Linked DNA regions of Notamacropus eugenii. The protein of the gene in region 3 interacts with the protein of the main gene of each other region in a pairwise test. Links are inferred from orthologs where the notes say so. Each region holds a gene or a part of one and is shown on either strand. Other genes may lie near its edges. The genes, in order: STXBP4, SERTAD1 and KLHL42.

Region 1 (10,417 bases), on a different chromosome or scaffold from region 3:
ATTCATTTGTATATTCATTCAACAAATATGATTAAGTGCCTATGTGTGCAGGGCACTGAGCTATGTACTAGGGAAGATAAAAGTTTGGATTAGACAAGGTTCACAAAGTTTACAGTAGAGTGGCCAGATAGGGAACAAATGCAAGTAACTATGATAGATAGGGCATAAATAAGGCTGAGTTGCAAAACAAAAAACACACTATGTAAGGTCAGGTTTTGTTCCCAACCAGGAGAACTTGGGGCAATACTCTTTGAGTTGGGTAAGAATTCAAAAAGTAAAGGGGAGAAAGGGCAAAGGTATTTAGGGTGACCAGGCACAGAAGACCAGGTAGGTCTACTTGAATGAGATTGCCAAAGGAGAGAGTGTAGAGAGATGAAAGTCAAAGACAGGTCCATAGGAAACACCAGCAATGAGAAATCTGGAAGGAGAAAGGGACTAGTGAAGGAGTGGTTAGATAGGCAAGAAGAGTCTCAAATCAAGGAAAGAGAAAAAATATCCAGTAAACAGGAATAATCAATTGTGTTAGAAGCAGCAGAGAGGTCAAGGAGGAAGAGGACTGAAAAACAAAAGGCCATTATAGCTTCAAGGATTCTGAGGACATTGGTGAAGGACAGAAGCTAGATTTCAAAGTGCTGAGAAGACTGGACAATGACAAAATGAAGGAATCTCCAGATAAAGATGAGTCAGTGCCTAGATGAGCTAGAAGGATTAGAAAAAAAAAAAGACTGAGGATATTAGGTATCTGGAAAACTGAAAGAAGGAATGATGAAAGATGCCCTGAGAAAGAGGAGCCAACTTCAGAATCAGGAAAAGGACAGATCAGGGACCTATGTATAAGGCTTAGTGAAGAAGAGTGATACCTGTATTTTTCTAGCCTAAAAAAAAAAATATTACAGTAGAAATTGAGAAATGGAGGAGGAGGGGAACTGAAGAAGCTAAGGCAGGATGCCCTCAATCTCCTTAGAGAAGGTTAAATTCTGTTCAACATAAGTAGGGTATGGGAGAGAAAAGAAAAGGTCTGAAGCACACAAAGGAAAGAATGAATGGAGAGTGTGAACAGAGTGACAGACTTTTTAGTCATGACACCAAGTTCACCGCCTTCCTTAAATCTTTTCTCCATACTAAATAATCCTAGTATGGCATGCTCTCTGGTCCACTCCCAAACCCAGTCACATGGCTCAGATATCAGGATGTTGGGGACAGAACTTTAAGAAGGGGTAGGGAAATGGACAAGGAGTCAGTGAATCAAATGAGTGGGGGAAGGAGTAAGAGGAGTACCAATTGACTGCACTGATTCTGAAGCCAAGGGTAATGAAAGTATCCCAAAGGAGGAGGTGGTCAATAGTGTCTAAAGCTGCAAAAAAAGGTCACTGGGAGGGAATTTTAAAAGGGTTGTTGGTGACCTTTTTGAGAGCAGTTTCATAAAGTGGTAAGGGAGAGGTATTGAGGAGAAAGTAGATGATGAGGAAGTAGAGGCATCATAAACTGTAAAAACTTTCAAGAAGTTTGGCAGTAATGAGAGAGAGAGAGAGAGAGAGAGAGAGGAGTAACTGGCTGGAATAGAAGTGTCAAAGAAAGGTTGTTTAAGGTCCTAGGATTGTAGACCATGTTTGCAGAGCAGGGAGGGAGAAACAAGAGGAATGAAAGACAGGTAATGGTTTTTGGAGGGAAGGTCAAGTGAGGAGGATTGAAAATAAAGGGGAAAAAATGTTCTGGCTCTCAAGTTAAAGAGATTACATAGTTTAGCAAGTATTTTAATCAGGGTTTTATAGCAGTGATGCTAACGCTCACCATGATCATTTCATGAGAATCCAGGAGTTCCTGAAACCTTGTGACACTCAGTTCTTGGAAGCAAGGGTGGAAAAAATGTATGGGAGTGGGAGAGGAGAGAAAGAGGAAGAGACTAGGCAGAGGGAAGGAGAGAAACACATTAACATGATTAATATTAGTCATAATTTATAAATTTTTAGATGTGATTTTCTAAAGATCTGAAATTACTTAAGAGTAACAAGAATTCATTTTTGAATTAAAGTTATTATCTAGTCCCATCCTACCTCTAAAGCTGACCCCTCCTGATGGCCTATGGAGGGTCATACCTCTCTGGGCTTTAGTTTACTCATTTGCAATATGAGGGGTTTGAATAAGATAAAGGTTCTTTCTACCATTCAGCATGGACTACTAAATGTGGCAATCACTTACATATATTTCGGTTTGTTGAGGCCTAAAATTCCAGTGAAGACTTGCATGCACATCTGCATTGAAGGTGACTTTAATGATTCGATCCTTAACAGGTACCATAGTCTCAATCTGGTCTGAAGCATGACCAGCTACAGGTGACCCACCAAGTCCTGTGGTCTGGGAAAAAATTATTACAAAGTATATTAAAAACAAGATTTATAGATTTTTAATGAAGGTGCATCATAATCATGAAACGTTCCTTTAAAACACTACCACAGGATTAAAGGACACCTGATCTACAGTGGGCAGCTAGGATAGTGTGCCAGGCCTGGGGTCAAGAAGATTCATTTTCCTGAGTTCAAGTCTGGCCTCAGACACTTACCAGATGTGTGACCCTGGGAAAGGCACTTAACCCTGTTTGCCTCAGTTTCCTCATCTGAAATGAGTTAGAGAAGGAAATGTCAAACCACTCCAGTATCTTTGCCAAGAAAACCCCAACTGAGGTTACAAAAAGTCAGACACAGCTGAAACAACTGAACAAAGACAAAGATCTACAACTAGAAGGCACCTTAGAGGCTAAAGATTTTTTGGGGGGGAGTTGGGGTTAAGTGACTTGCCCAGGGTCACAAAGTTAAGTATCTGGGTTGGATTTGAACCCAGGTTCTCCTGACTCCACCTAGCTGCTTCCCCCACTACTCCCCCAAAAAAGATTTCAACCAAGTCCTGAAGTCCCAAAAATATGCTTTCCCAATGGAGCAGAGAACTACTATTTTAAATATGTCTTCAAATAACTGTGACAGTGCTCCTAATTGCTTCAAAATATATAAACATGCTATGCTACCATTTAAATTTTGTTATTATTAGTGCACCTTTTAAGATAAGTATGGAATACCTACATTTGTACAATCATTTTACTTTTAAATGTTGAACATCTTAACTAATTTCCAAATCAGTTCACTAAACAAAGCAGAAGCTAGCACTAAATAACAAAAGGCATCTGAGGCTTTATTCTAGTGGCCACATCCCTAAGAACCTGATAGTCCAGTCATTTAGTCAGTTCTAGATCAATCTAATTATATTCAATTGAAAGCATTTATTATGTTCCAGACATTGTGCTAGGCATGTATAAAGAAAATATCAAAGCAAGAGTACTTGTTTCAAAGGGCATACATTTTAAAGAGGAAACAACAGGCATATACATACACATATGTATATACATGTGTATATACATATCTACAAAACACACAAAGCAGATATAAGATAAGCAGGGATTGGGGGATAGACGTACTACCAGGAAGGGCCTTATATTAAAAGTGGCACCTGAGTTGAATCTTGAAGGAAATTCCCAGGAATTTCCAAAGTTGGAGATGACAGAGAGTTCATTCTAGGAAAAGGCGAGTCAGTGCAAAGACATTGCCTGTCATTTGCAAAGAATAGAAAAACTGTAAAATGCATGGGAGGAGTAATGTGTGATCAGGTTGGAAAGGCAGGATGGAACCATGGTTTAAAGAATTTTAAATCATAAAGAGGAGTTTATATTTAATCTGAGAGAGGGAGACACAGCTTCATCAAGTAGAGTTCAGACCTGAACTTTAGGAAAATTACTTGGCAGCAGTGAGCAAGAAGGTAAAGATAGAAGGCAGCAGGCAGGTCTGTTTAGAGGCTATCTCAATTGTCCAGAGAAGTGAGGAGGGCCTGAGTGGAAAGTGATTGCCAGGGGAGAGATGTAAAGAGATGCTGCAGAGGTAGAACTGACAAGATCTGGCCATTAGCTGGGAATGTCAGGTCTCCAAGTCTAGCTGTGCCTCCTAATTGCCTAACAAGCAGGAGCCTGGTCTTCTCTAAATGTCATTTCCTCCAGGGCTCCATACAATGTTCTGTACCCAAACACCACATACTTTGTAACCTAACCCCTCCCCCCCCTGCCTTTCCAGTTTTCTCACACCTTACTCCTCAACTACTACTTTGTAACCTAACCCCTCCCCCCCCTGCCTTTCCAGTTTTCTCACACCTTACTCCTCAACTACTACTTTGTAACCTAACCCCCTCATGCCTTTCCAGTTTTCTTATACCTTACTCCTCAACTACTACTTTGTAACCTAACCCCTCCCCCCCCTGCCTTTCCAGTTTTCTCACACCTTACTCCTCAACTACTACTTTGTAACCTAACCCCCTCATGCCTTTCCAGTTTTCTTATACTTTACTCCTCAACTACTACTTTGTAACCTAACCCCCTCATGCCTTTGCAGTTTTCTCACACCTTACTCCTCAACTACTACTTTGTAACCTAACCCCCTCCTGGCTTTCCAGTTTTCTCACACCTTACTCCCCCCAAACTACCCTGATCCAGTGAAACTGGCTTCATGGCTGTTTCAAGAACAAGACACTGCATCTTTTGGCTCTGAGCATTTTCTCTGGCTGTACACCCTACGCATGGAATGCTCTCTCTCCTGTCTTTGCTCCAACTAAAGACCTCCCTGACTTCCTGTAAGTCTCAATTAAAATCCCACCGACAGGAAGCCTTCCGTACCCCTCTCAGTTTTAGTGCTTTCTCTCTTTCCATTATTTCCTATTATTTGGTTGCATTTTTATCTCCATGCCAGGTTGTAAGCTCCTGGAGAGCAGGGGCTGTCTTTGGTCTCTTTTTGTATCCCACCACTTGGCACCAAGTTTGGCACACAGTACGTGCTAATTAAGTGTTTCTGGAACTGAACTTAATAAATATTTGATGAATGAATGATTGAATGAATGATAATACGGGCAGTGTCACAAAGGACAAAGTGCGGGAATCTCCAGAGCAGGGAGCTGGTTAACAGCATTAAAAGATGCCCAGAGGTCAAAGAGAATAAACACTGAGAAGTCACTGCATGGAGCAAGCCTGCATTCACACAGCGCCTTTGTAAAAGCTTGCAAAGCACTTCACGTAAATTATCTCACTGGATCCAGATCACCAAAGACAAGGAGGGGTGGGCGCTATTTTTTACGCCCCTTTCACAGATGAGGAGGCTGAGGCCTGGAGAACCCAAAGTCACAAAGGGCTGTAGGGGGCCGGGCTGGGATTCAAACCTCAGTCCTCTACAACAGACCCAGACTCCTTCCCGGTAAGGTCCCGTCCAGTCGGCGCGACCTTGGGCCCGTCCCTCCCTGCTCCGGGCCTCGGTTTCCCGGCGGGTAGGAGGAGCCTCCGGGTCCGGGTTGCCGGCGGCTGCCCTACCTGGCAGTAGAGGCGGTAGAGGGGCACGGCGGCGTACGAGGCCCCGATCATGCCCACGGCGGCCGCGGCCACGTACGTGAGCACGGTGCGGTTCCGCCGCCGCCACTCCTGCTCCTGCTCCCGGGCGAACGGGTTCGTGCTCTTCGGCCTCCACGGCGGCTGCCGCTGTTGAGGGGCCGCGGCCCGGCCGCCCCACCAACCCCAGCAAGCCTGGAGAGGCTTCCAGTGGGGCCGCCCAAACACCGCCATGGCAACCCGGGCGAAGCGCCCGAGCCCCACTTCCGGCCCCGGAGAGCGCGAGATCGGGCCCTCGCGAGCGTGGCTGCTGGGGCCCCGTGACGTCAGAGCGCGCCGTCGGCTGGCGCGGCTTCTCCAGCCCGCTGCGGCGGCAGCGGCAGCGGCAGCGGCGGAGATAGCAACGGCCCCTCTTCCAGCAGCCTCGGCTTCGGGGACGCGCTACGGCGGCCGAGCGGCCGGATTGTGGGTGAGTTCGCGTTTCGCTCCCGGGCTCGAGCCCCTCCCTATCCGGCCCCCAAACTCCTAAGCTTCTGGTTCCGCGCGTGGAATCTTCCTCGGTGCCAACCCACTCCCGCTCGAGTCTGGGGCGAGAGTTCCGCTCAACCGGAGACCCCGCCGGCGGCCTGAGCCCCTCCACCCACCCCCAGTTACCTCTCCCGATACTGATAATGAAAGGAGGCAGGCTGAGAGGGAGAGCCCGAGTGTGACTCGCGCCTCTGCCCTTCTTGCTGTGTGACCTGGGCAGCGTCGCTCAGCCTCTCTGGTCCTCGGAGCCCAGCTGCACCAGGAACGACCTGGGCTAGACCAGAGGTTCCTTACATTTTGGGGAGGATTGTCACAGACCCCCTGTAGCATCCCATCGAGCGCGCTTTATTAAGTCCCTACCAGGTGCCGAGCACAGTGCTAAAAGGCTGGAGACAAAGAGAAAAACAAACCCCAGCCCCCGTTCTCCAAGAGCTCGTAGTCAAGTGGCAGCCTCGTAGACCCGATGAACTCCCCGACCCCACCTCACTCCCCAAGGTTTTAAAATTCATAAAATACATGGGATTTTAAGTCAAGTCGGCAAGCATTTTTTAAGAGCCTATTGTGTTCGGGGTGCTTTGCTAAAGGCTTAACAAGTATCCCACGGAGGTAGGGGATACCTTTATTCCCCTTTTGCACATAAGGAAGCTGAGGCTGAGAGAGATTGAGAGACATGTCCAGGGTCACAAAGCCAACACTTGTGTGAGGTGAGAATTTGAACTCAAGACTTTTCCAAGTCTCTGCCCTCAAGGAGCAGGGGACAACAGCGCATGAAAAGGAAACCAATTACCTTGAAATACAGTGATATCAAAATACTTAAAATGGATTCTCCCTGTTGATAATCCCTGGACCAGATAATTTTTTAAAAATTAAATTCTGTCAAATTTTTTTTCCCCATCCTACGGGCGTTTGTTTTTGTCCCTTTCTGTCATCTTCCCCACTCCCAAACAAACAAACAACAGCAAACCCCTTGTAACAAGTAAGACATAATCAAGTAAAACACATTTCCACATTGGCCAAAATAGATGTCTCATTCTTTATAATGCAGAATATTTAAAAACCTTTCTGCTTCCGTGGTCTGGATCTAGTGATTTAAGGACCTACATTTTCTTTCTTTTTTTTTTTTTAATTAATACATTTAATTTTAGTTTTCAACATTCATTTCCATAAGCTTTTGACTTCCAAATTTTCTCTACATCTCTCACCTTCCCCACTCCGAGACATTGTGCATTCTGATTACCCTTTCCCCCAATCTGCCCTCCCTTCTATCACACCCCTCCTTTCCCTTATCCACATCTTCTCTTCTTGTAGGGCAAGATAGTTTTCTATACCCCATTACCTATATTTATTTCCCAGTTGCATGCAAAAACAATTCTCAACATTTGTTTCTAAAACTTTGAGTTCCAACTTCTCTCCCTTCGTCCCTCCCCACGCATCCCCACTGAGAAGGCAGACAATTCAATATAGACTATACATGTGTACTTATGCAAAAGACTTCCATAATAGTCATGTTGTGAAAGACTAACTATATTTCCCTCCATCCTATCCTGCCCCCCATTAATTCTGTTCTCTCTTTTGACCTTGTCCCTCTCCAAGTGTTTACTTCTAATTACTCTCTCCTCCCATTTGCCCTCCCTTCTATCATCCCCCACCCCACTTATCCCCTTCTCCCCTACTTCCCTGTAGCGTAAGATAGATTTTCATACCAAATTGAGTATGCATATCATTCCTTCCTTAAGCCAAATGTGATTGAGGGTAAGCTTTTTCCCTCTCACCTCCCTCCTTTGCCCCTCTATTGAAAAAGCTTTTTCGTGCTTATTTTATGAGACATCATTTGTCCCATTCCATTTTTCCCTTTCTCCTCCTAGTATATTCCTCTCTCACTCCTTTATTTTTTTAGATATCATCCCTTCCTATTCAACTTACCCTGTGCTCTCTCTCTATATGCATATAATCCCTCCAACTACCCAAATACTGAGAAAAGTCTCAAGAGTTACAGATACTGTCTTTCCATGTAGGAATGTAAACAGTTCAATTTTAGTAAGTCCCTTATGATTTCTCTTTCCTGTTTACCTTTTCATACTTCTCTTGATTCTTGCATTTGAAAGTCACATTTTATATTCAGCTCTAGTCTTTCCATCAAAAATGCTTGAAAGTCCTCTGTTTCATTGAATGATCGTGTTTTCCCCTAAAGTATTATACTGTTTTGCAGGGTAGGTGATTCTTGGTTTTAATCCTAGTTCCTTTGACATCTGGAATATCATATTCCAAGCCCTTCAGTCCCTTAATGTAGAAGCTGCTTCATCTTGTGTTATTCTGATTGTATTTCCACAATACTAGAATTGTTTCTTTCTGTCTGCTTACAATATTTTTCTTTGACCTGGGAACTCTGTAATCTGGCTACAATATTCTTAGGAGTTTTTCTTTTTGGATCTCTTTCATTAGGTGATCAGTGGATTCTTTCAATATTTATTTTACACTCTGTTTCTAGAGTATCAGGGCAGTTTTCCTTGATAATTTCAAGAAAAATGATGTCTAGGCTCTTTTTTGATCGTGGTTTTCAGGTAGTTTCATAATTTTTAAATTGTCTCTCCTGAATTTATTTCCAGGTCAGTTGTTTTTCCAATGATATGTTTCACATTGTCTTCTTCTTTTTCATTCTTTTGCTTTTGTTTTGTAATTTCTTGATTTCTCATAAAGTCATTAGCTTCTATCTACTCCATTCTAATTTTTAAGGAACTATTTTTTTCAGTGAGCTTTTGAACCTCCTTTTCCATTTGACTAATTCTGCTTTTTAAAGCATCTTCTCATTGGCTTTTTGGAACTCTTTTGCCATTTGAGTTAGTCTATTTTTAAAGGTGTTATTTTCTTCAGCATATTTTGGGGTCTCCTTTAACAAGCTGTTTACTAGTTTTTCATGATTTTCTTGCATCTCATTTCTCTTCTTAATTTTTCTTCCACCTCTCTTACTTGATTTTCAAAATCCTTTTTGAGCTGTTCCATAGCCTGAGACCACTGCATATTTAATTTGGAGGTTTTGGTTGTAGAAGCCTTGACTTTTATGTCTTCCTCTGATGGTATGCTTTGTTCTTCCTCATCCGAAAGAATGGAGGAATATCTTTTTGCCAAGAAAGTAACCTTCTATAGTTTTATTTTTTTCCATTTTTTCGGCATTTTCCCAGCCAATTACTAGACTTTTGAGTCCTTTGTTAAGTGGAGGGTATACTCTAGGGATCTGTAAATTCTCAATTCCTCCAAGGTGATACAGTCAAGGGAGAGGAGTCCTGTGCTGTGGTCTGGGAGCAATCACAAGCTTTTCTGCCCAGAATCTGGGAGTAGGATTCCCTCTCCGGATCCTCCACCAGGTCCACAATGCCAGCACTCCTCCTCACTGTATGACTGCAGCTCATTTCCCCCAAGGTCTCTAGGCAGAGGGCTCCAAAAATGGATGCTGCTGCCTCAGTGGCTGCTGCCACCCTGGAGCCAGGGCTAGGGCCAGACCTTGCTCCCTTCTCACCCAGGTGAAAGAGCTTTCTCACTGACCTTTGAAGCTGTATTTGACATTTGTGGGTTGAGAAATCTGGGAACTACAGCTGCTGCCAGTAATTTTGTGCCCTGAAGATTGCTCTAGTCCTGTCCATGCAGAGCTGTGCAGCACTCAGCTCTGAGCCTAGTACCATAGACCTTTCTTGTCACCCTTCCAGACTGTCTTGGGCTGGAACTCTCTTTCACTGTGTCATTTTGTGGCTTCTGCTGCTCTAGAATTTGTTTAGAGTCATTTTTTACAGGTATTTTATGAGCTATGGGGTTAGAGCTAGAGCAGGTCCGTCTTTCTACTCTGCCATCTTGGCTTCACCCCCCCCCCCCCCTTTCCCCCAAGGACCTACTTTTTCAACAGAAAAGTGTGGTAAAATTTTTGGAACACCCTACACACACACACACACACACACACACACACACGCACGCACGCACGCACGCACATGCACAGGCACATATACATACATTATTCATAGGATCATAGATTTAGATCTGGAAGGGACTTTGGAGTCCATGAAATCCAACCTTATCATTTTACAGATGAAGAAACTGAGTCATAGGTGAAGAAGCTTGACCAGGACCATATACTAATCTAAGGGAGGTTTTGAACTGGTGTCTTTCAGACTCCTACTCTAGCACTCTATCTGTACCACCCTCAATTACATGTCATGAGTTCCTCCTTCAGGGAGCCCATTCTTTTTGTCATTCTTTGTTTCTTTAGCATTTAACAGTCTGTCTGATTTGTAAATATATAATAAGGGCTTAGTAAATGCTTTTTGACTGACTGGTTTGGCCTTCAAGCCAAGAAGACCCTTGTTCAAATTCTTTCTCTTACCAACTCTCTGAAACTTAGAATCTTGAAGAAATACCAGCCTACATTGGTAGAGGATGTTTCGTCTCTGGGACTTTCCTTGATCAAAAAAAATCACAAGTCCAGGCTCTGTCTCC
Region 2 (9,672 bases), on a different chromosome or scaffold from region 3:
CCCAGCGTGGAGGTTATGGTGCAGGATTTCTTTTTAAGCATCTTTTCTCCCCAGGGCTCCGGCTTTGGCCAGCCCCAGCTCCTCCCTCCTTCTGCCCTCAACCCACGTCCTCCCAACCGCCCCCCCCCATCTCCCCAGTCCCAGGAAGGACGCGAGCGCCCCGTGCCAGGCCGCTGAGTGTGCAGGGACCCCGCCCAACCCTACTCATTCCAAAGGACTAAGTGGCCTGAGGAATGTGGCCCAGTCATAGCTCCCACAGGCAGGGGACAGACAGATGCACCATCTTGTAGGCGCACAGAATGTCACACACAGCCTGATGGCAAGTGCTCAGAATGTATGAGAGCGGGAAGGGACCTTAGGACATAGCAGAGACTGCCCAGGTCCTTACTGAAGCAGGCTTAATACGATAGAAAACTGTTCCCCAAAGTGGAATGGGCTGTCTTGGGAAGCAGGGAGTTCCCCATCACTGGACATCTCCACCTGGAGGATGACCACTTATTAGAGTTGAGGACACTTTCCAAGTGTCCTAGAACTGGGGACTGTTTTAGGGAGTCTTTGAGATCCAAACTACTTTAATCATAATATTAAGATCTTTAATTTCCAATACAGTAGATTATCAATAGCTACAATCCATAGCCCTTAAGAAACTTCAGAAACCAACTCTTTCATTTCCCAGTTGGGGAAACTGAGGATCTAGAGAGGCAAACAAAAGGGGTGCATGGTCTTCAATTTTTAAGAGTGTAAAAGGGGCCTGAGGCCATAGTTTGGGAAAAGCTACAGTAAAGGACATTTTTGCTTGGATACAGGGGTGGGCTATTGAGCAACAAACATTTATTAAGCCACCTGAACCAGTTCCTGCCTTCACATGCTAGGGTCTTCCACTCCTCTCTGCAGAACCACCATTTTGGGAAGGACTCCAGCCATGAATCCTTCCACTCTCTCCAGACTCTACCCCCTTCTCTTCTAATGTCTTGAGCCTCCCTTTCCAACTTCAAATATTTGTTATTTTCCATGATTAAAATGTAAGCTAGTTGAAGATGGGGGCCACCATACTTACATTTGTGTTTCCAGAGCTTATCATATAGAATTTGGTACACAGGAAGCTTTTAAATGCTTCATCCATCCCCCCATCCATCCATATTCTACCGCACTGAGGTCCCTCTTAGTTCTGAGATTGTATATTATTCAGTGTGACCTTAGAACAGAAAGTTAAAACTGGATGAGGTCTTAGGGAAACACATCTATTCCAACCATCATACAGAAGGGAAGCTGAGGACCAGAGAAAGTGAGAGACTTCCTCAAGCCCACACAGAGAGTTGGAGACAGAGTTGAGACCTACAGATCACAGGATCCAACCTCTTCATTTCCCAGTTGAGGAAACTGAGGCCCAGAGGCAAATAACCTTTCCCTGAGATTACCTGACAAGTAGCAGTAGCAAGGGTCAATAATTCACTTTAAATATGCACAGATGGGGGGAGGGAGAGAGGGAGAGAGAGAGAGAGACAAGGAACAAATTGTTTCATATATTAATTGTTTTCATCTTAAAAACCGTCCACGCTTTCCTCCCCACAATTCCATGACCCCCCCTCACCCCTACAGTCTGTAACAGGAGGGGAGCTCCCAGCAGCTCTAGTCCATTTCAGGTCTCTTGGGGGCAGGCAGGGAACCATTTCCCTACAAAGTCTGTGTACCCACAAGCACATCCATGAGGTAATCTAGTTCAGACACGTCCAGCCCTGGCCCCTGTATCTTGTCCTCTGTTTCCCCAGAGTCTGTTTTAAGATTGGGCCACAGTTCACAGTCATACATGGAGGTGTCAATGTCATCAAAAAGACCCTCCAGTCCATCCTCCAGGAGGAGCTCCAGGGACCCCACAGGGGCTGGCCGCCCAGGATCCAGGCCCAGGTCCGGGGGCCGGCTAAGGGGGGCATCTTCAGGGAAGGCTGTCTGGGTGTCACTGAGGCCCTCAATGTGACTCAGGTCATCCAGAAGGGCTGAGACAGACGTGCACAGAGGGGCATCAGGGACCACTGGGAAGGGGTCAACAGGAGCTGGAGAAGGGGGTTCTGGGGCAGAGGGCTCCAGGGCCATAGAGGACTGAATTCTCCTCAAGGTGTTGACCACCAGGACAAGGTGGCGGAGATCTGGCTCGCCCCTCCGAAGGCCATGGTGGAGTTTGAATATAGACAGGCTGAAGAGTGAGCTGGGGGGCAGGGGTGCTGGGCCAGCCCCCTCCTCAGGGCTTGGGCTGGGAGTGGCCTCCTCTAGCCACCAGTCCTGTGAGGTCAGGTTTTCCTCCTCTTCCTCCTCTCGCTTACGTTTCACTCCTTTGCACAACATGGGTCTGTGGAGAAATGGGGGTATGGGGTCAGAAAATGGTCTTTTGTGAGCATTCTTTTGGTTCTCTCCATCAAAGGACTCTGAAAACCCCTCTCCTGATGCCTTGGGACAATGAATCCCAGAAAATTAGCGAGAGACCTTCTAGTGCAGGGAGTCTTAACCTGGGGTCTGTGAACATTTTAAAAATATTTTAATAACTGTATTCCAATACTAATGAATTCTGAATTCTGTGTTTTATTTCATACACTTTAAAACATTATTCTGGAAAGCAGTCCATGGGCTTCACCAGACTGCTCCAGGGGTTCCAATACTAAAAAGGTCGACCCTCACTCCGGTATAATGGCCCCTGGAGCCCCTTCCAGCTCAGACTAGGATCCCAAGTCACAACACCGCTGGGCCTCAGTTTTCTCTTTTGTACAACTCAGATTGGCCTGCCAGGAGCCGGGGACCCCTCCTCTCCTTCCACAGAGCGGGGCGCGGGCAGTGGGGGCTCGGAGGACGGGGCTCGCTCTGGGCCAAGCAAGAGTCAAGGGCAGAGGCCGGACGCCCCTGGGGCCGGTCGGGTCAGCTGGGAGTGGGGGAGGGGGCAGCCTCAGAAGGCGGGCGCCCCCGGCCCAGCCTCGCTCGGCTCCCCGCCTGGCCCGGCCCGGCCCCGCTTGGTTCCGGCTCCGGCTCGGCTCCCCGCCCGGCCCGGCCTCCGCTCCCGCTTCCGGCCCGGCCCGGCACGGCTGCGGCGGCCGCGGGGGCGGGTGAGTCACGCAGCCGGAGCCAGGGAGCCGGCGCCCCCGCTCCCCGCCCCCTTCCCCTTCCCCGGGGCTGGGGCGTGATTCACCCCGGGCCGGAGCAGGCGCCAGCGGCAGCGACAGCGCCCCGGGTCGGGCCCGGCCTGGCGCCCGGGGAGCCGCGCCGGGAGCATCGGACGCCGCCAGGGGATCGGACTCGCCCGGGATGGCGATCCCCTCTCCGGCCCCCAAAGCCTACCCCCTTCCCCCCTTCCCCTTCGCCTCATTTACATACCCAACTCGTCGGCTGCCAATCAGAGGGTCCGCGACGCCACCAGCAGCCAATCAGGAAGCGGCAGAGGCGACCGCATCGCTCGCTCGCTCACTCCTCCCGCGGCCGGCCCCTGGGTCGCTAGAAGCTGCACTGGCCCGGGCGCGCGGTCGTGGGGTTGCTACTTTCCTCTGTTTCTGCCCCGCCCCTGAGAGGCTCCGCCCCAGGAATTCGGGATTGGTTCGCTTCCGTGATGGGCGGGGCTAAGAGGGAGGCGAGGCCATCCAGGGGCCCAGGTTCCCCGAGCTGGATTCCCCAGGCCCTGAGGCCCGGGACGGGGGCACTCTCTGGTTGGCCAGTCCGTGTGTCTTTGGTCTCAGCTGTCGCTTTCCGGGCTAGGGAGGGCGAGGGCGGGGGTCCGTTCTTGGGCTTTTGGGAAGGGTTGGATGAAGGAGCTGAAGAAACGGATTCTCCCCCACTTCCCCCTAAAAGGGGCTGGGTCCTCCCCTTCTTGCTTGGGTTGACAAGACCCCCACAAGCACCTGTTTAGCTAGCCCACCCCCTTGGACCATCCTTTCCTCCTCATTTTTGCCACAGAGACTCTGGCACCGAAGCTGGACCGAAAGGCCCTGAGGGAAATCGTAGAGCCCTCTCCCCCTTCCCCCTTGCCATCACCTTCCCGACCCAGCCTCCTTAAAAAGCCTGCTAGAGCGAGTTCTGGGGGGGTGGGGAGGGAAACCCTGGGAGCATAGTCTAGGTCTCTAGGACTCGGTGGATCTGTGCGGGATGGAATGGAAAATGCCTGGGGGCTCCGAGGCCCCGAGCTTGAATTTAGGCTCTGCTCCAGGCAGGGTAGACCTGTGTGACCTTGGCAGATCACTTTCCTTTTCTGGGTCTCCGCTGCAAAATCAGGGCTGCACCAGATAGTTTCCAAGGCTTTTGCAGGCCCAGACTCCTAGGACCCTTCCCTCTTTTGGACCCAAGTCCCTGCTTCGAATGAGGAGAGGCTTGAGCTCTTGAGGTCGCTGGGGCTCTGCCATTGGGCGATTCCAAGCAGCTGAGTCGAGCCCTGTCCGTCCCTAACTTCTTGGCAGCTGGGGAACAGATGAGAGAGGCCCCGACGGAGGGGAACAGTGGGGCGGAGTGGGGGGAAGGAGAGGAGGGCCTGCCCAAGGCACGGAAACGAAAGTTACAAGAAAACGAGCGCGCGCGACCTGTGGCTCCGAAGCTAGAGCACCCCGGGGGCTTTATTAGAGGGAGAAACCAGAGTCTTGGGGCCAGGAAGGGAAGAGCTAGCAGGGCCCCCGGGGTGGGTGGGGCAGGTGGAAGGGGCCCAGCTAGACAGCTTTCTCAGGAGTCCTTCCAGCAGTGTCCAGACTGTATCCTGCACCACAAACATACCCCTTCTCTTTTCCCCAACTTGTAGTCTGGAGGAGGGAGAGAATTCTGCAGAACTATCCAGCTGGTCCATCCTAGACTGGAGGGGAGCCATGATCTCCCCACAGCTGAGTAAACTCTCCTCACCAGACCCTGCTTTGAGGGCCAGCTCCTGGGGTTGAGGAGCTCTGCCAGCCCTTTTACACCCCTCCTCCTAAACAAAGTGGGGTAGTAAGAAGAAAGGAGACACTGAGTCAGAGCCTGTCACCACTCTTCCACAAAGCCCCCCTCCCCCAGCAGAAGAAAAGGATTTCCTCCTGTATTACTACACCCCGATATGAAAAACTTTTGGGTTCCAGGACTCTTTTCCATTCTTAGAAATTATTGAGGAGGTACTTCCCGACCAAGAGCTTTTGTTTGTCGAATATCAATCTCTATTTACCATGTTAGAAATTAAAACGTCTTCGTATTATTATTAAAAGTTTTAACATTGCAGACTTCCAGAAAGGGCCCCAGGGGTTCCCCAGGGGTGCACTCTTTGAGAGCAGAGGATTTGAGGTAAGTTTCTTCCTCTTCCAACCCTAAATTTCCCCCTAAAATGTGGAGATTGGATGAGATGATGTCTAACTTCCACGACTAAGTCTAAACTGACCACCTCACCCAGGAGTACCCTTAAAGGCAAGGAGGGCCTGGTGGAGAAAGCGGAAACACCTGCCCCCTGCCCCTATAAGGCAGGCTACCTGTTCCTATCCACCAGAGGCTCCAGGCCAAAAAGCATGATGGGAAGAAGAATGGATTAAAGGGACATTATAGAATTTGAAAGTTTTATTCACAAAAAAAAAAAAAACCCAAACAGGTAAAATAGGTCTTTTCAAAACAGAAAAAAAAGGTGTGACCACAAATAAAGATTCCTTTATCCCTGTTGCACTTCATCAAAGCCTCTTTGGGTAGGGAAGGGGGTGATCAAGCACAAAGGAGGGGGGCAAAGGAGGGGGGTACTCCTGGCCAGGAGGGGGGGAGGGGGGAGGAAGAAGATGTGATTTCTTACTGTTTCCATACCTGTCAACCTTGGGAGTTGGGTGGAAGGGAAGGGGGGGTTGGTCTAGAGCCCCTCCTCCTGGCAATCTGGACTTTGTCTCCCCAGAGGCCCAGGCTCCTGGCTTTCAGCCCTGCCCTGCCCCCTTTTTTTCCCCAGGCAGTTACTCAACCCTGAAGCCAGCTTCTTCATGGGATATGAAGCCAAATTAAGGGAAAAATTAGGGAGTACCCGGGGACCAAGCTCCTAGGAGACTAACTGGAGTAAGAATAGCAGCCCCAGAGTGCTTGGTCCTTGCACACCATGGGCCAGTCAGGGTGATAGGGGGAGAGGAGGAGGGATTCCCTGGCAGCAGCTTTGGCTGTGGGAGGATGAAGACAGGGGGAGCAGTGTTCCATCAAGCCATCAAAAAAGAGAGATACAATCTGTTTTTTTTGCCATCAGCAGGCCCTGAGACTAGGCCAGGAGACTTTCCCAAGTCACAAGGAAGCTTCACTACAGCTTCCTGAGATAGGAAATCTTTGGAGACCACTTTCTTGAAACTCTTCAGAGGTAAGCAAGTATCTAAATGAAGGGTTCAGGGTCCTAGGGGACTTGGGGTCTTGCCCCACACCCCCACAGTCTTATGATCCCTTGATGATTTCCAAAATTTGATCCAGTTCAGTCCAGTCCCATTCTGTCCCAGAGGAGGAGGCAAGGGCAAAAAGTGAGGGCCAAGAATCCCTTTCCACATCTGATGTGTCAATGTCAGGGAAGAGGTCATCAGGAACCAGGTTTCCAAAGTACCTGTTGCCCATGATCTCAAAGCTGCCTAGGGCAGGTTCCTCAACTCTGACAGATGGGGAAATTGAGGCCCGAAGAGGGGAAGGTGTTGGCTTGCAGTCACTCAACAGATCAGGGGCAGAGGTAGGGCTACAACTCAGATCTGGGGGCTCACAGTGGTCTTGTGTGATTCTTAAGCCTCCAGCTTATCACCTCCAGCTCTCTGAGGAACTTGTTGGCAGACTGGGCAGTTGAGGGTAAAAGCAGCTCCAACCTAGGTTCCTGGGGCAAGGCTGCGCTCCTCTCCAGGTTCATCTCTTCCCTGATGTGGTTCAGGGTGTCTGTGATGAGCACTTGCCTCAGGAGGTTTGGGGGAAGGCTAGCTGGAATTTGTCCATTGAAGGGCAAATTAGGGTCTGGCCTATGCCAGACCTGTTGGACATGGAATAAGGGGCCTGCTCCTGGGACTCCTTCCCGACCTCCACCTCTTCAGGATCTTGGTGATCATCCAGGTGCTTTCCATTCACACCAACCACCATTGTCCCTTTATGGGAGAAGGGGCAGGAGTTAGGAGACCCTGCTTGCACCCCACAGGGTCCCTGCTGAAAAGGGTCCCCAGAGAGCCCCGAGTCCTAGACAAGTCTCTGCCACTGACTCGATATGGGGTCTCCGTTAAGACTCTTACCAACTCTAAGTCCCCCTGTAATAAAATAGTGGGGTAGGATTGGAGACTCTGTAAGGACCCTCTTCTGAAAACTGGTAGATGGATTGGACTTGGCAAGGAAAACTTGCCCTATTGTTTTATCCTCAAAGATAAATTTGGGAAATGCCCAGGATTTTGGTTTTATATTATTATAGTGTGAGAAACAGGCTGAAGCAATGGGTAGAGAGAGCTGGCTTCAGAACCAGAAAGTTCTGGGTTCAAATCCTACCTCAGACAATACCTATGGTGGGACCCTGGGTAAGTAACTTAATTTTTAATGCTCTTGGCAACTCAAGACTATTAATTACTGAGAAGGTGCTGACCTGCATAGGTAGAGGGATTAGCCTCATTTGGAATCATGAATTGAGACCTGGAAAGGAACAAAGATATCGAAGTTATTCAATTTTCCATTTTACAAATAAGGAGATTTAGGCTGAGTGGTTCAATGACTTGCCCATGGACGCTTGTTTATAGAAGGATTTGAACTCCCGTCTCTGACACTCAGTCCAGAATGACATCCACTGGGTCTTCTAGGAGTTCCTTTTACCAATAAGATCGAAAGCCCTTATCCTTTTAATATCTCAGTAATCAGAGTCCTCCCCTACCCCCTCCGTCTTCCCCTCTTCCCCCTTGATTTGGACCTCTGTTAAAATACTCTGTCACCGCTTGTGAGTAGTAAGTAGACCTTTCTGGGGCTCAGTTTTCTTATTTGCAAGATGGTTTTTAAGATCCCTTCTAGGTCCTATGATTCTGATATTCCAGGACTTTGATCGCCCGGGGATCACTGCAGTAAGGTCCCCTCATTTTACAGAGGGGAAAACTGAGGCACCAAGAGAGGGAAGGACCTTGCCCGAAATCATTCACTGTCAATTCAAGACTAGAAACCAGTTCTCTAAATTCTCACTGGACAAACCTCAAATAGTTAAACAAAGATGCGCAAAGGACTCATACGTGCCCCACCCTTGGGGCTAAGTACCCATTGGAGTATACTACCTTGCTCCGCCCCTCCCGCCTTAGAAATGTTCAGACAACGCCCATTTGGGCCTATTCTCCAATAAGAGCGCCTCATCCTCTCCAAGCCACGCCCAGAGAGGCGTAGCCCCTTTCCTTTCCCGGAGGCTATAGGGGAATGAAGTGCGGGTTCTGTTTCTGGAGAGAGAAAATGAAACCATTCAGGTGGTGGACTACAACTCCCAGAAGACCATTCCATCTGCAGCTGTCTGGAGCCTCTGGCTGCTCTCTAAACTGCTTTGAAGAAGGAAAAAAACCCATCACACACAAAAATGTAGCAGGAGCTCCTCCCCGCTCCCCGAAATTCCCCAGTCATCCACCCCCATCCCAGATTACTGCTAGAGAAATTCCGAGGTTCTTTTGGGTGAGAACCGGGGAGTTTAAGCAGAGACACAAGCACCTGGGTCCTTAAGCGAAGGGGTGGGAGAAAGGGGCCCCTTCACTTCTTCCTCCTCTCTCTCAGATAAGGCCTCTTCTGATTCTGACTTCCCAGGGCTGTAAGACCTGATCTGATTCTCCCAGATCTCCAGTTTTCTCCTCGACCCCAACTCCATTCCCGGAGGTCTCCCTGCCTCCTCGCAGCTCTAGTCTGATCCATAATAACTCATACGTTTGAATAATGCCTAAATTTCGCAATATAAGAACCATTATCCCCATTTCACAGGCAAGAGAACTGAGACTCAAAGGTTAAAATGCATGTTCCTGGGCACACAGCAAGTTGCACTGGAGAAAAGACTGGAATTCGAACCCGGGTCTCCTCAATCCCAATCTCACTACAGCACGCTGCCTTTTAAAAAGGGCTGTTACAGTTTCCCCATGGGCACCCACCTCCAAGAGTTTGACTTTACCTCACTATCACCACCCCCTTCTGATTCTGATCTCCCAGGGCTCCAAGACCTGGTCTGATTTTCCTAGATCTCGTCCACTTCCCAACCCCTCCAGTCCTCCAAATTTTCCTGCCTCCTCCTGACAGTTCTAGTCCAAGGGCTCTCCCTGCCTCCTCCTCCTCCTCCTCCTCCGACCACCCCCACTCCAGCTCACCAATCCCGGCTCCTTGGCTCCGGATTGGAGAAGGGGCAGAGGCGCGGAGCCTGCGCTTGTCACACCCAGGCTGCCCAGCCCACAGCCCGGCAGCTCTCTGACAGGTTAAAGCCTCCCCCGCGCCACGCGCTGATTGGCTGGGTGAGGTTACCCCTCCAACTACAGGTGATGCTCGTCTGCACTCACTCCTCCTCTTCCCTACCTGCCCTCCAGGCCATTTAAAAACCTGAGTCGCAAGACCACCGAACTAACTAGCCTCCTAGTCCTGCCTCCCGGTGTCGGGGTGGGCCCCGAGCCCGGAGGAAGGAGGTGAGGTGGGGAGGAGGAAAGTTATTTTTCACTAGCTGAAAGGGGACCCCTCCCGACCCCTCCCCCTCGCACTTGGCGGGGTCTACAACGCAGGCGTAAA
Region 3 (10,432 bases):
TCAGTCTAAGCACTGTCTTACCTAAGCACGTTGATGATCTCATTCTTTGATGCTTCCATTGTGCCTAATGTAGGCTTCCAATCTACCTTGAAGGGTTTTCAGGGGACCACTGTGCTACTACTGCCTTGGGATACAGCACCTGTCATGTTGGGAGGCTACCATCTTGTTGGCCTCAGCTAGCACTAGAGGCCCTCCTTTTTTATTTCCTGTGGGTTTCTGAATGAATTTTTGTATAGTTTGGGGGCTAAAGGTAATTTACTAGGCAGCTAAATCCCCATAAGTGCAAGTTATGAGTTCTGTGAAGTGGCTGCATTATTTAAATTCACACTATTCAAAGTTATAACCATTTGTAAAATATAAATCTTCCATGTAGAGAAATGGAAGCCAAAGAAGGCCCAGAGACAAAGCTAAGCTCTGGGAGCCAAGACGCTATCTCTTCTCCAGTTTAGCTGCTTTCTTGGACATTGCATGAATGTAGACTGCTAAAGCCTGAAAGGAGTTTCGAGATACATCATTACATGAAAAAAGAAATATACTGCCCCCCTCCCCCCACAACACTAGCACGCATTTAGTAGTAAATATACATGCTCTATTGTTGGGGGTGTAAGCTCAGTTCCATGTGGACAGTCTTGGGCGGGTAAAGGTGAGGACTTCTAAACCTTAGAGTTCTCATGAGGCCCCCCAGGGAACAGCAGGAAATTGAGGTGTGAGACCGTGCATTTCCGCCTCTTCCCGTGGGAAAAATGCTGGGAGAGAGCATCCCCGCCCTCGCCCTCGAGATTGGCCCCAGTCTGAGCACACCTATTGTTGTCTAACAGGCACGGTATTCAGGTGCAAACTATGCGGCAGGAGAGCTTAAGTAGGGTCAGGAAAGCCTGAAGGCGCTCTTAGTGCTGAGGGGCCATTAGAGGACAGAAGGCCCCTCTTCCCTCTCTCCTCTCTTCTCTCTTCCCTCTCCCCTCTCTCCCTCTCTTCCATTCTCCCATTCTCCCATTCTCCCACTTCCAATCTCTTACTGTAAGATCTTTGCCTCCTTGGGAGATTTCTCTCTCTCCTAAGGAAGAGTTCCCCCTGCACATGTAACCAAGACCCTGAATAAAGCCTAACCCTTGTTCGACTCTGGAAAGTCTCTTCTCTCATACGTTTATCCAGTTTGGCCAGCCGAAGACCTGCGATAGGTAAGGTAAGACTCGGGTAGCCCTCAGGCCTCTAGGCTTGGCACTCTATGGGACTACAGACTCTGATACAACCTGTCTTGACGTTTTGTGAGATGAGCTAAACATTTTTGAGGAACAAGGAACCACAAATTCAGTTTTGTTGCTTTCAAAATGATATTGGGGAATTTCTCAACCCCGAGTTCTCTTGAAGAGTATAATTTCTCCCAATTTGGTCCATTTGACTGGAGGTCAGTAAATCAAGAGGCAAGGCTAGAAGATAAAAAATTTAATTAGCATCAGCTGATGGTCAGTTGTCATATGAATAGCAACCTGGCTATTTATTAAGGGTTTTTAAAGTCATAGGGTTATAGTACAGGTAGGTAAAAAGAGACTGAGGCTGCTCAGTCACGTTGCTTTTCGGGGAGATTGAATGGGATTTGGGGGATCTGACAGGATAGCCAATGATTTGGAGAATGTGTTAACCTGGTGTTAGATGTGTTAACCACAGGGTCTTAGAAGTTGCCAAAGATCAGGTTTTCTAGTTAATCTTATCAGATATCTTGGCAAGAAATCTAGAAAAGAGTGGAAGCCTCCTTCAAGATAGAAATCAGTCAGGCTCATCCTGTCTTTGCCAGCCTGTCTTTCTATATATATAATTCCATAACTCTGTTTCTTTGGCCTCAAAGGTTAGTTTTTTGGGAGAGATGTTTTCTCTAAGTTCACAGTTGGCTTCTTCCTCAATGTTATATCATCCCAAACTTTCTTCATGGATGTGATGACTGATTAAGTGGTCTCATATATTGGAAGGCTTCAGTCATCTGGGCTTGGAGTCAGAAAGCAAAAATTTAATCCTGACTCTACCATTTACTGCTACCTATATGATCTTGGGTTTAACCTTACCTCTCTGAAGCTACTTCTTCATCTGTAAAATGAGAAATTTGGATTAAAATTGTCAATGTGATGCAGTGGGAAGATTGGTGGATTCAGATACAGAAAACTTGAATTTAGATTACACTGTTAATTACCACCTGTATGAACTTGGGCAAACCACTTGACTTCTGTTTCCTCATTTATAAAATAAAGGGGTTGGATTAGATGACTCCCATGACTTTTTCCAACTCTAATTTATGATCCCACGGCTAGGTGATTTCTAAAGTTCAGGTCTAACATTTTTACCTATGATTTTTTGATGAAGGCATACAGAGCAAGAAAAGAATTTCCAGACCTTACTTGTGAAAAGGGTGTTCATGCACATATGTACTGGTTCAAGGCAATAAAATAACGATAATATATGGCTTAGTTTCTCTTACTGATCTAGAGTATAATGCTTGTTTTGCATGCTCTTTCTCCTGTGGAGACCCAGTCTTTCCCCAGACCACCTCAGCTCACAAAGCTAAGGAATAGTATCTCTTGTCTCTTTAAAGGGGAAAAATTTCTTCCTCAAGATACTTGCGTTAAATCATACCAATAGGGATTTAATGGTTCAAACTAAAATTTTTTAAAGATGTTAAACAACTGGAATATTATTGGAATTGGAAGGGTTGTACCACTGACAAAATGTGAGCACAGGCTCCTTTTGGCCAGCAGCCACAGGAAAAGGTTTCTCTGCTTTAAGAAAGATCCTATTTTAAGAACACCCTGAAGGACCAAGATGTGCTAGTTGATACAGTACATTTATTTTATCCGTAAGGCAAGAGAAATAGAGATGGGATAAAAATGTTTGTTTCAAAGTAAAATTATAACATATTTGCATCAATTAGTGTACCAGGTGTTTTTAGTGTTAATTCTACTTCCCCATCAAGAAGAGATCATTCAGTAGCCTATTTAAGCTTTTATCAAGCAAAGACATAAGGACTGTGTAGAGTGTCACCTAAGTACTCCTCTGAGTTGGGGGTTGGGAGAGGGTTGCCACTCCTAATCTTCCAGTCAGATGATTAGCCAACTAGATGTCTAGTGGATAGAGTCAGAGACATGGAGTGAGGAACAGCCAAATTCAAATCTTGTCTCTGACACTCTCTAGCTATGTGATCCTAGGCAAGTCACTTAACCTCTGTCTGCCTCAGTTTTCTCATCTGTAAACTGGGGTTAATAATAGCACTTACCTCATAGGGCTGTTGTGAGGATCTAATGAAATAATACATGTAGAGCACTGTGCCATGCAAACCCTAAGGCATTACACAAATGCTAGCTACTATTAATAATAATTACTATCATCTACAAAAGAAGTTCACAAGTCTTGATGCATAGGAGACACAAAGTCAGGGGAAGAGTACCCCATGCTAGGGCATGCTAACACTTTACCTCAGCTCCACATTTCTTGTTAGCCACTGTTAGGGCTCAGCAAGAGGGATTCTCTCTGTCATGACTCTTTCTCAGAGTTCACAGTGTAAGTTGGGGAACCAAAATATGTTGTGGCCTAGGGGTGCTAGGAACCCTGAAATACAAGGGTTTAGGGCAGGGGTCTGCCTTGAAAGAATGTGACCACTCAAACCTTCTTTCAGTCCAAGTAGTGAGTTTATTAAGACACCAGTTGGGTGGGCAAGATTCCTTGTGAGTCTGCCCTTAATAGGATTGAGAATGAAATTCTTATATAAACAAAGGGAAAATGGGTTAGTGAAAAGATCTTGATGGGATTAAGGAGTGGCAAGTAGCCTGGAGTGGTCCAGAGGTAACAGAGAATGAAGGGCTGGGCTGGGTTAGGAGCCACAATGAAAACGGTTGAAAAGATTATACTGGGATGGGCCTGGATGCCTCGAATCTGGACTGTTGAAATTTGTGGTAAAGTTCAAAGACCCTTTTTAGAGGTTCAGGTCCCATACCCCATCATTAGTATATGATTGTGATGGACTACTACTGATGAGGTACAGCCTCTGGGAACCTCCTTGAATTCTCCTTGAATCTTCCCACTTAATCTGGTTTTTCATACCCAAATCCATTACCCTTAATCTAGCCTGGCCATCCATTGTCTGTTACCTCCCAATTGCCTCCGGCTGTCTCCTGCCCTTGATTACATCACTTGTTGCCCCACTTCCATCAAGATCCTCTTTAGACTCTCCTCCTATCCAGATCCCTCCCACAGTCTTTCTGTATATAAGTTCCATCTGGCCTCCATGAAGGCGCTCTCATTCTGTCTAGCTGAGATTCTGTCTGGTCCACATGTCAATACAAGCATCACAAATAGTTTGGCTTAAGAGTCAACCCAATATGGCCAATCTTTAATAAACTTTGTTTTACTTTGACTGAAAGAAGGCTTGAGTTGAATTCATTTGGCAGGACCCAGTGTGTTGGTATTTTGGGGTCCCAAGCACGCCAAACCTCAACATTATGATTCTCTGACCTGGTCATCGCTACTGTGCCATAAGAAATGATGAGTGTGATGATCTTAGAAAAGCAGGGACAGACTTGCAGGAAATAATGAAGAGGAAAACGAGCAGAACAATGAGAATGCTGAACACTAACAAAAACATTGCTTTAAGAACTATTTTGAGCAAATAAGTCATTTTGACTATTAATACCCAAATTAACTACAAGGGACATAGGAAGATGCTATCTGCAGCTGGAGAAAGAACTGATAGATGTGTAGAATGATTTTACACACACACATTGTACATATATACACATTTGTGTCTAATGGCTGCCATCTTTGGGGGGAGAGGGAAGAAAAATGAAAAAAGAAATTTACATAACTTTATTATATATTAAAAAGGAATACCAAGTTGTATATAATAGATTCACAATTTCATGTGCAATTATTTTTTTAAAAATTAATACCATGTTATGGGAAAAATGCTTATTGATTGGGGGAAAAAAAAGAGAATTTACAGGGCTAAGATGAAACTTGCCTATTTCCATGACTTTGGGCAAACGTCTGTGCGGATGCCACAGGCACCCCTGGTGTCCTCTGTCCTGTGACAGTCTTCGCTATGTGGTCTACCAGAAGGCTGCGCCACATAGAAAGGGCTCACCAGACTTGTGCCAGGTTAACTTAGGGTGACTGTGGGCAGTTCTGGGTGATGTTTGGGGGAGGACGTTGACAGGCCGGGGGGATAACCAGGAGCTGAAGGGTGACTTAAAGGAACAAGAGAAGCCAGGGGAGCTCGGGGGATTCTGGCACGTGAAGAGGGGCCAGACTTCATCCGCCGGGTCCGAGGCCAGCGAGGACAGGGCTGGAAGCTGCAGGGAGAGATTTCAGCCCCATCTAAGGAAAACTATTTTTAGTGTTGGCGCCGTCCTAAAATGGAAGCGGGCTCTTCTTCACCAGAGCCTCCGCAAAGGCTGGAGGGGCTTGCGGGGCCTTCCTGGAGGTCTTAGAGGATGCGGAGGGGATTCCCGCACAGCCACAGACTGGCCTGTCCAGGACCCTCGGAGAAACTGTGCTCAAGGACCCAAGTCCTGGGGCTAAGGTCCCGGTTCGGTCCTGCTTTGTGTCTGCCCCCTTGCTACTGCACAGACCCGCGTTCTCTCCGCACGCCCGCAGAGATGCTAGGGGCTCCAGGGGGCACAGTACTGGGCACGCACGCCTGCCAAGGCGGCCCGGAGACCGGAGGCAGACGCCGCAGAGCCCTGCGGGGCGGTGCCAGCTATGAATGGTGCTTTCTCGGGGCACCGGCTCACGGGGCGTCCGGAGGCAGCTCCGGGCAGCGGAGGCTCGCCTCCCACAGGGGCAGGTCCGGCGTTTCGGGGCTTGGGCTTGGGGGAGGAGGCAGACGAAGGATGTTCGGGGCCCGGGGCCCGGGGCCGGGGGGAGAGCAGAGCCTGGCCTTCTAGGGAGCCAGGAGATGAAACGAGCGGGGGCGGGAGCGGCGGGAGGAGGCCGAGCGGGGGAAGGAGGGGCGGGAGGAGGGGGCGGAGCCAGGCGGGGAGGGGCCCCTCCTCCCCCTCCTCCCCCCACCTCCCCCTCCCCGCCCCTTCCGGGCGGAGCCTGGGCGCTCCCGTGCCCTCCCCCTCGCCGAACCCAGAACCGGGCGGGTGGGGGGCGCTGTCGGGGCCCCTGCCTCCCCCGGCCCGCGGCGGGCGCCTCGGCCATGTCTGCGGAGGAGGTGGTGCAGATCCTGCTGGAGGGCCGCTGCTACCCCGTCAGCAAGAGGAAGCTCATCGAGCAGAGCGACTACTTTCGCGCCCTGTACCGCTCGGGCATGCGGGAAGCCGGGGGGCCGGAGTCGGGGGGCCCCGAGGTGCAGCAGCTGCGGGGGCTCAGCGCCCCGGGCCTGCAGCTGGTGCTGGACTTCATCAACACCGGAGGGACGGGGTCCGGCTGGTCTCTGGGCCCGCAGGGAGACAAGGGGAGTGGAGAGGAGGAGGAGGTGGAGGAAGGCAGCTGGCTGGAGGAGCTGGTGGAAGTGGCCTCCTTCCTGCAGGTCACCTCCTTGCTGCAGCTGCTGCTGTCCCAGGTGCGCCTGGACAACTGCCTCGAGCTGCACCGCCTGGCGCAGGTGTACGGGCTGCAGGACCTCCAGGAGGCCTGCCTCAGCTTCATGGCCGCCCACTACCACCAGGTGCTTCGCAGCCCCCAGTTCCACCTCTTGGTCACCTCCCCTCAGGCTCCGGGCGAGGCCGATCTCAAGCAGAAGCTGAGGGAGGGCAGGATGAAGGGAAAAGCCGTGCTCATCGCCCTGGGAGACTTCCTGGGGGGCCCTCTGGCCCCGCATCCCCACCAGGGAGAGCCCAGGTCCATGCTTAGGTACGACGAGGCCGCCCTGCGCTGGCTGCCTCTGGCCAACCAGCTGCCCCCCGACCTGGTGAACGTCCGGGGCTACGGCTCTGCCGTCCTCGACAACTACCTTTTCCTAGTGGGAGGCTATAGGATCACCAGCCAGGAGATCTCTGCTGCCCACTGCTACAACCCCTGCAAAAATGAGTGGAGTCAGGTGGCCTCGATGAACCAGAAGAGGTAAGCACCAGGTGCAGGGCTCCCACAAGACCCTTCCCAGCTCCCAGGTGATGCTCTGGAGGTGACTTGGGTCCTGGGCCCTGGCAGCAACACGCTTGTCTGTTGTGACTGCACACTGCCTGTGGGCCTCCAAGATCAGGAGTGTTCCCTTACCTTGAGGAGGAACAAGCCAAGGGCTGCAGGACAGAGGAGCTGAGCCAGCTAGGCAGTAGGACCTTTAATGTTAACGGGTCTTTCCATACAAGGTGGCACCTCGCCACTTTCTAAGAAGGACGGTTCATGAGAAAAGTTTAGATTTTCCTTTGATTCAGGCCACTAAAGCCACCCATGATCACTCTAATCCGTTATATTTATCTGAAATTCCCAAAGGGATTACTTCCATCAATTCAGGATCCTCCTAAAGCCTGAACGTTCAGTTCATGGGCTCATAGATTTATATGTTAGATAGGTAAATAAATAAAACGTGCACAATCCCTTCCCTCAAGGAATTTACAATCTAATACAAAAAGGCAAAACATAAAAGAGGAGCTGCCAAGGGATGGAGGCAAGGAGCACTGGGGAGGGAAAGGAAGGCAAGGCGGTGGAGCAAGAAGCAAAGTGAGTCATGGGGCTGGAGTTTCCCATGATACATGGTGCCTCTTGGCTGGGACTCACCAGTTAGTGAGTAGGCCTTAGGGTAGTCATTCTCCAGGGAGGTAGAAAGGACTAGAATGATTTAGTTCATTTTACAGGTGAGGCAACTAGATCCTAGAGAAGTTTAGTGACTTGCCTGCCTGCAAGTCAGTCATACAGGTTTGGTAGTAAGTGGCAGTGGGGGTTCAAATTCAGATCATCTAACTCTCCTACATACCTCACTGTTGTTCTGTCCTGTCTGACTCTTTGTGACTCTATTTGGAGTTTTCTTAGATACTGGAGTGGCTTGCCATTTCCTTCTCCAGCTCATTTTACAGATGAGGACACTGAGGCAGTTTTAAGTGACTTGCTCAGGGTCATACTTCTGAGTTTGGATTTGACCTCAGGAAAGTGTGTTCCTGACTTCCAGGCCCAGTAGTGTATTCATTGGGCAACCTAGGTGTCCCAAATATCCCACCATGCTTACTAGGAAATACGTTAGAATTTTATTAGTTACCCATATTGATGTCTTCTGTTTTTGACACCATTGTAGCTACCCCAGCATCTCTCCCCTTTCTTCTCCCAGAGACCCATTCTATATAACAAATAATATTTTTAAGAGCCCTCCCCCCCCCCAAAAAAAGGGAAACAAAGACTGGGAGACAAGGGAAATAAAGAATAAGAAAAAAATTAGAATTGATTAACATATTGACAAAGTCCCAAAACATGGACAGTGTGTACCTGTGGACCTCCCACCTCCACAAAGAGGTAGGTTGGGGATAGTGTCTCATATCTCTTGATTCATATCATGCTTGATGATTATAATTCAGTTACATTCATGTTGAATTTTTTTGTGTATAGTTCTCGTCATTTATATTATTCACTGTGTATATTGTTTTCTTGGCTCTACTTCACCATATATGCATTACTTCTTGTCGATCTTAATATACTTCATTGTATTCATCACATGTAACATTTCTTGAAGCACAGTAATACTTCATTACCTTTACATACCACAGTTTAGTTAGCCTTTCTCCAATCAGTGAGAATCTACTATGTTTACAATTCTTTGCTATCACAAAAAATGCTTTTATAAACATTTTGGTTTATGTGGAGATCATCTTTTTATTAATGGCTTCCTTGGGTAATAAACACAAAAAAGGAGTCTCTGATTCATAGGATATAGACATTTTAGTCACTTTATTTTCATAACTCTAAATTACTTTCCGAAATGGTTGTACCATTTCACAGCTCAACTAACAATGTATTAGTATATACATAACCCCTTCAACATTGACTATTGCCATTTTTTAAAATTTTTGCCAATTTACAACTTATGGTTGTTTTGATTTGCATTTCTATTAATAATTTGGAGTATTCTTTCGTGTGATTGTGAACACTTCACAATTTTTTTTTTTGGAGGACTGTTTGTTCATAGTCTTTGGCGACTTATTTATTGGAGAATGGCTATTAGACTCATGTTTGTTGTTTGAGTGTCTTGGATACCAAACTCTTATTGGAGAAATTTGATACAAAGATTTTTTTTTTCCCCATTTGATCTCTTCCTTTCTTATTCTAGGTGCATTAATTTTGTTTGTGCAGAAGCTTTTTGGTCTCACAGGATCAAAGTTATCTATTTTCTCTGTTGTAATTGCTTCAGTCTCTTGTTTGATTCAAAATACATCTACTGTCTATCGTTGTGAGAGGTAGAGGTCTGCTTCTCTTCTAGTTTTTTTTTTATGGGATGATTTTTCATAATGTCATGTATCCATTTAGAATGTATTGTAGAATATGTTGTGAAAGTGTTGATCTAAGACTAATTTTTGCCAGATTGCTTTCCAGTTTTCCCAGAAATTTTTATCAAATAAGGAATTATTTCCTTTAGTAATTATGTTTTTCACTTTATCAGACACTGGGTTACAGAGTTCTTTTCATCTTTCTCTCAGTTTTTGAACTAATACCAAATGGTGTTGATGAGTATTACCTTATGATAATAGTCTGAGGCCTAGGAGTGCTAGTTCCCCTTTATCACTACTTTTTTTCATCATTCCCTTGACATTCTAGATCTTTTGTTTTACTAAATGAATTTGGTTATTATTTCATCAAATTCTATAAACCATTCCCTTGATTATTTTATTGATATAGCATTAAATGTATAAATTAACTTTGGAAGTTTTGCCATTTTTATTATATTGGCACAACTTAGCCATGAGTACTGAATATTCTTCCAGCTCTCTAGATTATTATTTTTTCTTTAAGTAACACTTTGTAATTGAATCTATACAAATCTTTTATGTACTTTGGTAGATCAATTCCCCTAATATTTTATGTATTTTGTAGTTATTTAGAGTGAGATTTCCCTTTATATTATTGTTTCTTGTGTTTTGTTATTATTATATAGAAATAGTACTGATTTTTGAGGGTTTATTTTGTAGCCTGCAACTTTGACAGCGTTATTAATTGTCTCAGTATTTTTGATGATTCTTTTGTATTTTCCAACTATACCATCATTTCAACAAACAGATAGTTTTACCTTCTCTTTATTTTTTTAATTTCTTTCTCTAATCTTTTTCTCTTGCTGTTGCTAGCATTTTCAGAACTATATCAAATAATAGTAGGGAAAGTGGGCATCCTTACTTTACTCCCATATTTAAATGGGAAAGGATCTAGTCACAGGGCTGGGGAATCTGCAGCCTCGAGGCCACATGTGATCTGCTAGGTGCTTGAATGTGGCTTTTTGACTGAGTTCAAGTTTTATTTTTTTTTTTAAATT

Evidence for each region.
Region 1: the proteins of KLHL42 (region 3) and STXBP4 interact in a two-hybrid assay, tested with the Homo sapiens proteins (2 studies listed by BioGRID and IntAct). The two-hybrid records come from large-scale screens. The link is inferred for Notamacropus eugenii from reciprocal best matches to the Homo sapiens genes KLHL42 and STXBP4.
Region 2: the proteins of KLHL42 (region 3) and SERTAD1 interact in binary tests that used the Homo sapiens proteins (3 or more experiments, as listed by UniProt). The two-hybrid records come from large-scale screens. The link is inferred for Notamacropus eugenii from reciprocal best matches to the Homo sapiens genes KLHL42 and SERTAD1.

The regions. Positions count from the first base shown.
Region 1 is NC_092873.1:366,585,900-366,596,316, forward strand, and holds the start of STXBP4 (syntaxin-binding protein 4), read left to right. Parts: upstream 1-5,696; 5' UTR 5,697-5,876; intron 5,877-10,417. Other genes in the region: COX11 (cytochrome c oxidase assembly protein COX11, mitochondrial), read right to left, coding at 2,200-2,355, 5,393-5,641. UniProt on the Homo sapiens protein: Plays a role in the translocation of transport vesicles from the cytoplasm to the plasma membrane. Inhibits the translocation of SLC2A4 from intracellular vesicles to the plasma membrane by STX4A binding and preventing the interaction between STX4A and VAMP2.
Region 2 is NC_092876.1:31,104,718-31,114,389, reverse strand, and holds SERTAD1 (SERTA domain-containing protein 1), read right to left. Parts: upstream 3,568-9,672; 5' UTR 3,358-3,567; intron 3,325-3,357; exon of another isoform or gene 3,173-3,324; intron 2,345-3,172; 5' UTR 2,341-2,344; coding exon 1,675-2,340; 3' UTR 1,515-1,674; downstream 1-1,514. UniProt on the Homo sapiens protein: Acts at E2F-responsive promoters as coregulator to integrate signals provided by PHD- and/or bromodomain-containing transcription factors. Stimulates E2F1/TFDP1 transcriptional activity.
Region 3 is NC_092874.1:218,566,676-218,577,107, reverse strand, and holds the start of KLHL42 (kelch-like protein 42), read left to right. Parts: upstream 1-6,052; 5' UTR 6,053-6,181; coding exon 6,182-7,047; intron 7,048-10,432. UniProt on the Homo sapiens protein: Substrate-specific adapter of a BCR (BTB-CUL3-RBX1) E3 ubiquitin-protein ligase complex required for mitotic progression and cytokinesis. The BCR(KLHL42) E3 ubiquitin ligase complex mediates the ubiquitination and subsequent degradation of KATNA1.